Linked DNA regions of Nothobranchius furzeri. The protein of the gene in region 2 purifies or fractionates together with the protein of the main gene of each other region. This does not show direct contact. Links are inferred from orthologs where the notes say so. Each region holds a gene or a part of one and is shown on either strand. Other genes may lie near its edges. The genes, in order: srp54 and srp9.

Region 1 (4,511 bases), on a different chromosome or scaffold from region 2:
GGTAACTCTCCTCCATCCATCCATTTTCGGACTCTTATCCGGGGTCGGGTGGCTGGGGCAGCAGCCTAAGCAGGGAGGCCCAGACTTCCCTTTCCCCAGCCACTTGGACCAGCTCCTCTGGGGGAATCCTACGGCGTTCCCTGGCCAACCGAGAGACATAGTCCCTCCAGCGTTCTCCCGGTTGGACGTGCCTGGAATACCTCATCAGGAAGGCATGCAGGAGGCGTCCTGACCAGATGCCTGAGCCAACTCAACTGGCTCCTCTCGATGTGGAGGAGCAGCGACTCTACTTTGAGCCCCTCCAGGATGACCAAGCTTCTCACCCTATCTCTAAGGGAGAGCCCAGCCACCCTGCGGAGAAAACTCATTTTGGCCGCTTGAATCCTTGATTTTATTCTTTTGGTTACTACTCAAAGCTTGTGACCATAGGTGAGGGTAGGAACATAGATCGACCGGTTAATCGAGAGCTTTGCCTTCTGGCTCAGCTATCTCCACCACGACAGAGCGGTAAAACGCCCACATCACTGCAGACTCCGCACCAATCCGCCTATCGATCTCACGTTCCAGCTTTCCCTCACTCGTGAACAAGACCCTGAAATACCTAAACTCCTCCACTTGGGGCAGGACCTCATCCCTGACCTGGAGAAGGCATTCTACCCTTTTCCGACTCAAAACCATGGTCTCGGATTTAGAGGAACTGATTCTCTTTCCAGCTGCTTCACACTCTGTTGCGAACCGCTCCAGCAAAAGCCCAAGATCACGCTCTGATGAAGCCAACAGGACCATATCATCTAGCCTGGCAAGCCAGACTAAATAAATGTATTATTTAGTCTGGCCATGCTCCATTGACGGCTCTCGGTTGTGGGGCGGGTTCTACCGTTGTCTTTCAAATGATCTCCGCATTCCACTGGACAAAGAATGTGACATACTCTTGTTTCACTCTGTTGCATCATCCCACCCACCAGGCATATAGAGTGCCCTGATTGGCCCACAAAGCGGATAAAGCTCTGTGATTTGTTCACTAAGCAGATAGAGCACTATGATTGGCCCATCACAGCTCTTTATGTGTTTGAAACCCCTCTAGAGAGCTGTGATTGGCTAGCCAGAGTCCTGGTAGGAGCTGCTGAGGTTCCAATGGAGCATGCCTAGACCATTCTTTGCAAAGCAAGAATTTGGTCTAGTTCACTAGGCTACATATCATCTGCAAAAACCAGAATCAATTCTTAGACCACCAAAACGGATCGCCTGAACAACACCTTGGCTGTGCCTAGAAATCCAGAATAGGTGACAAAGAGCAGCCTTGGCGGAGTCCAACTCTCACCAGAAACAAGCACAACTTACTGCCGGCAATGCGGAAAGCAACTCTGGGCAAATCTCATCCACCCCGGAGCCTTGCCACTGAGAAGTTTTTTGACCACCTCAGTGACCATCATCAGAGATTGGAAAGTCCAACCCAAAGTCCCCAGACCCTGCTTCCTCACTGGAAGACGTGCCGATGGGATTGAGGAGGTCTTCGAAGTACTCCACCACCCACCGATTCACAACATCCCGAGTCGATATCATCAGCACACCATCCCCACTATAAACAGTGTTGGTAGCGCACTAATTTCCCCTCCTTAGGCGCCGGATGATAGACCAGAATCTCCTCAAAGCCGCATGGAAGTCTTGCTCCATGGTCTCACCGAACTCCCCCCACGCCCGGGTTTTTGCCTTGGTGACCAGTGACACACAGGCCACATTCCGCTTGGACTGCCGGTTCAGCTGTGTCTGGAGTCCCACAGGCCAAAAAGATTTTCTTCAGCTTGATGGCATCCCTAATCGCCAGAAGGTTCTGGGATTGCTACCATGACAGGCACCTACGACCCTGCGACCACCACTCCGACAATGGAAGCCTGGCACATGGCCCACTCGAACTCAATATTGTCCCCCGCCTCGCCTCTCCTGTTTTGCTTAAACAGCTTACATCACACAGAAGGGCCTGCAGCAACGATAATACGAAAGAAATTACTAGAGAGTAAGTCAATACCTTTGATATCCAGGTGATTTTTTATTTGTCTCCAGTATTTTACTTTACTATTTTAGACTATTTTATTTTAAGTTTTAAATTATCTTTTAGTACCCTTTGAATACTATCAGATTTTAATTATGATTGCCTCCGTTGTTTTCAGATTACCTGAGTTTACTGAGAACTAAACTCTAATGTGAATACTTTTTTGTTTATAAAGTTCCTCAATTGATTTATTATAATAATTATTACTATTATTCATAAGACTATTATCACTGCTGGTTTCAGAGCTGGTAGATTTTCTTTTTGCTGCTTCCAACTGAATTCTTCCCACCTGTTACGTGTTTAATCACCGTGCTACACCAGTTTGTATAAAGCATTGTGCAAAAAAACAGTCTGGTTGCTTAATGAAACTAGTTATTATTGCAATGAAAACTGCAAACAAACATTGGTAAACAATACACATCTTTACCCAGAACAACACAACGTCAGACGCATCGAAAAGCATGCTGTCGGTTCGTTTTTTCAGACAGCTGCTTCAAACACTTCAGATGTTTACAGCTGCGCTAACATTAGCAGTTAGCTGCAAGCACTAGCAGACATTCAGCCGTTACTCGTGAATTTAGACAGAAATGGTTGAAGCAACACATTTAAATATTCAAGCGGCTAGATGAATAAGGATTGTAAAATACCGCAACGGAGAATCAGACAGATAAATATGAAGTTTGGGAGTCTTACCGAGTGTCAAAGATTAACCAGACTCCACCAGAAAAGCGTCATCTAAAAATCTACTCAACCGGAAACACAGTGCCACGTGATCAGAGCACGTCATGACTTAAAAACTTTATTGAACACACGGAAGGATACAATTTGAGTGATAAATGAAAAAATGCCACCTCTTCAGGTCAAAGCTCTGCAGTCCACTTTCACCTGAAGGACAAGGGACACACCTTTGAAGATGACAAAGTCCACATTCTGGACAGAGAAGATAGATGATTTGAGAGAGGAGTAAAAGAAGCTATCGATGTAAAACATGGAAAACCCCACTTTAAATAGGGGCGGGGCTTAGGTTTCACCTTTCCAGTACGCAGCTTTGGATCTCATTCAATTTCAGTCTAGGTCACACCTTCCTGCATCTAATCAACACGATGACTCACCATCAATAGAGGCTAACGACTCATCAGGAGATGGAGAGGCGGGGTACTCAGAGTAGTTTCTGCTCTTTAAATAACAACGGACAGCTACAGTTTATAAGCTTGGCTCTCCCATATTCCAGTTAGAACTGACAAAGCTCCTCAGAGGAGAAGTGAAACGTTTTAAAGAAACCAAAGAAGTCCAGTTGCCTTTATTTGAACCCTTTGGAGTAATTGTCAATAATAAAAAATACATAATAAAGTAATGAAATGTATATATTTATGCTCACATTCACTTTTACCATCTCTTTGTGGGAGGTGGAAAATTTATCATGTTTAACCCTCTTATGACCATAAATATAACAGTTTATTTTGTTTTATGGCTTTAAAATTGTAACAAAAAGTGTAAAATGTTTGTAACTCTGCTCCTTTTTTCAGAACAACCTCAGCTTTCAGTGTCTGTTTGTATTTAGTGTTTATGTTTATTAAAGTCTGTAAAACTGCAGCTTAAATGAAAAAAAAAACAGAATTGAATTTTCTTTACATTTATTACTAAACAGGAACTTCAAAATGACTTGAGCAAACTATGTCAAAAGAACTACCGGTATTTAAACTCAGAACTGTGTTGCAAACACTCAGAAAAAAGTGTGACCCCTGACCTCACAATTACCAGTTTAATGACTGTCTGTGACCACAGGTCTATACTCTGGTCCAGAGAACGGGATACAGTAACATAAATACTAGGTATCATAAAATAACACTCATGGGCTACTTCACAGCTGTAGCTACATTTCTACCAGCATTATGAAGATCAATAAGCAGATAAAAGGTTAAATCTAAACATTTCATTACAAAAAGTCAACTAATAAAATTCTGCACTGATAACATTATATTTTCAGCTAAATAAATATTTATTGTACGTATAAATAATGCTGGAATGAAGCTGAATCATTTAGTAAACAGTTGAGTGTTCAAATAAAAACCAGTGTGACAGTAATCTGTCCCTCCTCATGTCACCATCTACAGAAACAGCCTTCTGGGACACCTGACCAACCAGGTGGATTTTATTTGCATAACTTTATAAAAGCTGCTGATGAAGATGATCAGACTGTCTCCTCCCTTTGGTTCTCTGCTCTCCCGTCGCGGTTCGCTCCGTTTCTTTCTGTGACGCTGCAAAGCTGGTTTCCTTCTGATAGCGATTTTTGGAGTAACATGAATTACATCATGTACCTCGTTGGAAAGCTCATTTTATGTACTTTTAGAAACCGTTTGAATTATTTTTATTCAATAAGTAATTCAGAACTTTTGACCCGGAGAATCTAGAGTGAGAAATATTAACATCTGTGATTCTTTGTTGTGAGTTTATTCAACAC
Region 2 (4,466 bases):
TTGCAATTTTTTTAAAATAGGGAAGAAAACAAACAGTAATGAAGACACGTCTTCCATCGGTGTAGACGGACATATGTCCCCACGTGTCCTCCTCGGTACCACCACCATCCCACCTCATCCTGGTGCTTCTGAAATGCACCGTGCCCACTGAGCTCAGTCCAGGAGCTCCAGAGCCTCTCAGTCAGTCTCCATGGCACCGCTGTGCGTCTCCTTGGACACCATAAGTCTCATCAGTTTCCCATGCAGCTTCTCGATCTTCTTCACGTCCTGAGCCTGGTCTGTTTTGTACTGCAAACACTGAAAACAGAAACAAACCGTCACCGATGGTGAAAGATCATCAACATGCCCTAGAGCCTAGAGTGTCTGTTGAAAGAGACAAAGAACGCAAGCTTGTGATTGGTCAGGAGGACGCTGTCACTTCATCAACAGCACAGTCATTGTGGCTTCAAAAATTAAAGATATTTAGTGGCAGACACGGATAAGATTGAAAAACGCATCGCGGAAAAAAATATGCGCGTTTATTCGCCCGCGACTGAAGGAGTACAAAAATATGCAACGGGTGTTTTATTTGTAGACGGAGAAGACAAGAACCGCGAGTTTAGAGGCCCCGACTGTATGAACAGGTGGAGAGGACTGAGGGACAAAATCTCTGAAATATAACAATGTAAACACAACAGTAAGTACACCATCATGGACCGGAAATGTGACTAATGGTGGCAGGATACCTCAGAATAGTGGTACGCCCTCTGCTGTCCTGGAGGGGAATTGCTTTGCAACAATCCTCAGCTGATGGAGGAGTCTGAAAGCAAAACATCGTGTGCATCTCTCGCCGCAGACACACGCAACGCCACTGTCCGTCCACGCAGGGGTTTACCAGCAGGCTCACAAGGACAGACGGAGTCGAGCCCACTTCCCTAAACATCCATCCAACGAGACAGAGAACGCAAGCTTGCGATTAGTCAGCATGTCGCTGTCGTCAACAGCGCCGCCATTGGCCCCTCAAAAACATAAAGAAAGCCAAAGACAAAATCTGTTGTTTTGGCGGAGAATTTCTTTGCAACAGGGTCGGGCCAGTATGATTAGAGGAGATACGACCAAGCCCCCACCATGTGGCTCAAAAATGGAGTCAAACCCGGAGGTACCAAAAATTACAGTTCCACCCTCATCCACTAGGGGCTGGTGTCAGAAGCGAGCAAATCCTCATTGACTCCCATGTTAAAAATACCAATTTCACAGCAGAAATAAACATGTTTACAGCCTGGTACCAGAACATGTTTTTGGTTTAAATGATCTAGTTTACACTCATGACAACTCTGAGGGGGGTGAATGTTTTTCTCACTCTTCTGTTTAAGTGTATTAAAAGCCTAAAATTCTGTATAATTAATGAGCATCAGACCCACGTGACCACAGAGCTAGCTCCGGGGAAAGGCCTCAGTAGAGCCTCGGTCTGGCCTGGAAACTGCTCCGGGATTTTGAGTCTCTGTGTTTGTGTATTCTTGTTTGGATATTATTTGTGCAATTGTTGGACAAAATGACTTGCTGTGGCATTAATTGCACTAATAGAGCGTCCAAGGAGTCTCCACTTCATTTTTTTCGGTAAGTAAAATTATATTTATGTATTTTAGGTCACTGCCGAGCTGAGCTTAGATTTTAACATGTACTGTTTAACCATGAAATTTAAATGTAATAGGGTAAAACCCAGTGCATTTAACATAATGCTGCACTTTAGAAAATGGGTTGAAATATAACATGTTGGTGGAGCTGGGTTCCCACTATCGGCTTGTGGAGCTCTCGGAGACCTCTGTGTTCCACCCGGTTCTCCCCAGCGGTCAGCCCGGCGTATCTCTGACTCAGAAGCTCTGGTGTTGTGCACAGTTAACTCCGGTTGTAGCTAGGTTGCTACCTCCGTTAGCTTAGCTCCCACCTCCGCGTTAGCTTTGGGTTAGCTTCAGGTTAGCTTGTAGCTAGTTCGACCGGGTGTCGTCAGTTGATCCCAGCCTTACAGCCCCACCCTCAGCTCCTCCTCTCTTCCCTTTTGTGGAATTGTCGGGGCTTGACTGAACAAGTGACACGGTCAAGATGGCGGTGGTGGCCACCTCCCATTTAGCCTCAAAAACATGTTATTGGAGCCTATGGAAATGAATTGTCCAGTATATATATGTCGATGGATACGACGCAGCAGCAGGGGGCGCAAATGTGCATTTGCTTAAGCATGAGTCAGGCTTTACGTTTTGTGGTCACTGACCTTTTATAGGATCAGGATGGGACCCACCATAGGCGGGCTGGCGTACATGAAAGCTCTTCAGTGATTGGATAAGGAAGGGATTATCCAATAGGCGTCGCTTTAAAGGGCTAAACTAGAATATGGGGTTACAACACTTAACCGACGTTTTCCTCCTGTCACCCTTATTGAAGCGCTGCATCTCTAGGAGTGGAGTCGCTTTACTTCGTCTGCTGAACTTTAAATCAACACAAGGTGGACGCTGGGGTAAACCTGACACAAACAGCAGAACATCGTTCTGTTTCCTTCGTTTGTCTCACCACAGCGTTGTCGGTGACTTTGATGCACAGGTTACCGTCGCAGTGTCGATACTTCAGGACCACTCTGACCTGCAAAAACAACAAAAACGCGTTCAGGAATTCTGGCATGACGCTCAGAACCAACACCATCATGTGGCTAACAAGCTAGCTCCGTGTGCTAAAACACACGAACTCACCTTCATCGGATCTGCCAGGTAGAGTTTTTCTGCCGCGCGAGCGAACTCCTCCCAGACCTGATAGTAAGGCATTATTTCCCCAAACGTACAGAGTTAGATCAGAATGTGGGGTTAAAGCAACGGAGAAGCGACAAGCTAACTTAAAAAACCCACATCAGCAGCAAAGCCGCAGCAGCCTATCAGATTTCAGATAAGAGGATACGGAAACCCGTCGATCAACCTTTTTTCAAAGTAAAAGTACACCAAAAATAAGCCACTTCAAGTCAAGTCATTTTAAATTAATCGATCATCGCCACTTTACTGACACTTTTATCTTGCATCACGATTAAATTAATAGTTGTCTGTCTCCGTCTGATGCACAAGTCCTTACAACATTAATCTCAGTTTAACGTTTCTGAACATTCTCGTTAGAGTCAGACGACTTTTATTTTGAATGAACGTGTCGTATGCCGGAAAAGTTTCTTTTTCTTTTTTTGAAACTGTCAAAGGTTTAAAACAGCTGTACGAACTTTTCTTCACTGACCAAATGGTCTCTATTATTATTGTTATTATTATTATTATTATTATTATTATTATTATTATTTATTTATTTATTACAGGAGTGCCAACTTGCGTTTAATTGCCGACGACGCACTTCTCTACACGTTACAGAGGGCTTCTCCAAGTGAGGACCATCCAACCACAAAGTTACTAAAACTGCTGAAAAGGATGCATCACCATCATTAGTGGAAATTAAGACTCAGCCACTTCAGCCAGGCCTCAGAGTTGTTCTCATAAGCTACTCTGTTGTCTATACCTGATGTAGGAACAATCAGTGGGATATTCTGTGGTGACACATTTTTGTTTTCTTTTTAAATGTTTTTAGGTTTCAAAAGGAGCAGCCAGTTTTCTAGCTAGTGGTATACAGAGGAGCTTAGAGATTTCAGACTTTGATGAAATGTTGGTTTGTATCCACTTACATTAAAGCAGCATGGGTGATTTTATGTTGAACCAAATAAAGGAAGTGTTTCCGCTGCTCACAAAGGAACTCTTCAATTTATTCAAGCTGAAAATAGTTGATAAAAGCAAGACAAATACGTATATACAGTGGGTAACTGTACAGTCTAAACCAGTGTTTCCCAACCCTGATCCTCAGGGACCTCCATGTTGCCCTTTTAAACACCCGTGTGTCTCTTCTTCTTCTTTGAAATTAGGCAGGCTAGACACCTATAAAGCGTATTGCTGCCACACCAGCCAACACACTGAGCCAGCACAACCCACTGCACACAACAGGCACGAGTACCATCCCACCCCGTGTTCCCACACAACCACCACCAACAAAAACCCACCACCCGTTCACACCCCAGTGAAAACACACAACCCCACATGGAGGTTCACCCCATACTCACACTCCCAGCCCCACCATCTACACCCACCACCAAGGGCGTCCCACAATCCTCAGCAGACCAAGAACCCCCAACATCCCGCAAACACGTTGCACCCCAAACCTCCTCGGGGGACACGTCAGAAAACCCCCGCCACTGCTGTCACCTCACGAGCTACATCGGACTTGTTGGACGCTCCATACTTCACCCTCCACAAGGCCTCAACCAGAAACGCCAAAAACTTCCTTTTATCCTTCACAACTACCACACCCGCCCCCACATCCCCACCACCAGTTGACAAAGGCACATTACAAGGCCCGGATGCACCACTATTCCGCACCCCCACGACACACTGCCTCAGCATATGACACCTTATGCTCAGCCT

Evidence for each region.
Region 1: the proteins of srp9 (region 2) and srp54 purify together in Homo sapiens (co-immunoprecipitation; 4 studies listed by BioGRID and IntAct, counting the BioPlex papers as one, with this or other methods). This does not show direct contact. The link is inferred for Nothobranchius furzeri from reciprocal best matches to the Homo sapiens genes SRP9 and SRP54.

Annotation. Positions count from the first base shown.
Region 1 is NC_091758.1:16,489,446-16,493,956, forward strand, and holds the start of srp54 (signal recognition particle subunit SRP54), read right to left. Parts: upstream 2,843-4,511; 5' UTR 2,744-2,842; intron 1,384-2,743; exon of another isoform or gene 1,342-1,383; intron 1-1,341. UniProt on the Homo sapiens protein: Component of the signal recognition particle (SRP) complex, a ribonucleoprotein complex that mediates the cotranslational targeting of secretory and membrane proteins to the endoplasmic reticulum (ER).
Region 2 is NC_091742.1:28,143,156-28,147,621, reverse strand, and holds the start of srp9 (signal recognition particle 9 kDa protein), read right to left. Parts: upstream 2,920-4,466; 5' UTR 2,790-2,919; coding exon 2,718-2,789; intron 2,611-2,717; coding exon 2,542-2,610; intron 298-2,541; coding exon 178-297; 3' UTR 1-177. UniProt on the Homo sapiens protein: Component of the signal recognition particle (SRP) complex, a ribonucleoprotein complex that mediates the cotranslational targeting of secretory and membrane proteins to the endoplasmic reticulum (ER).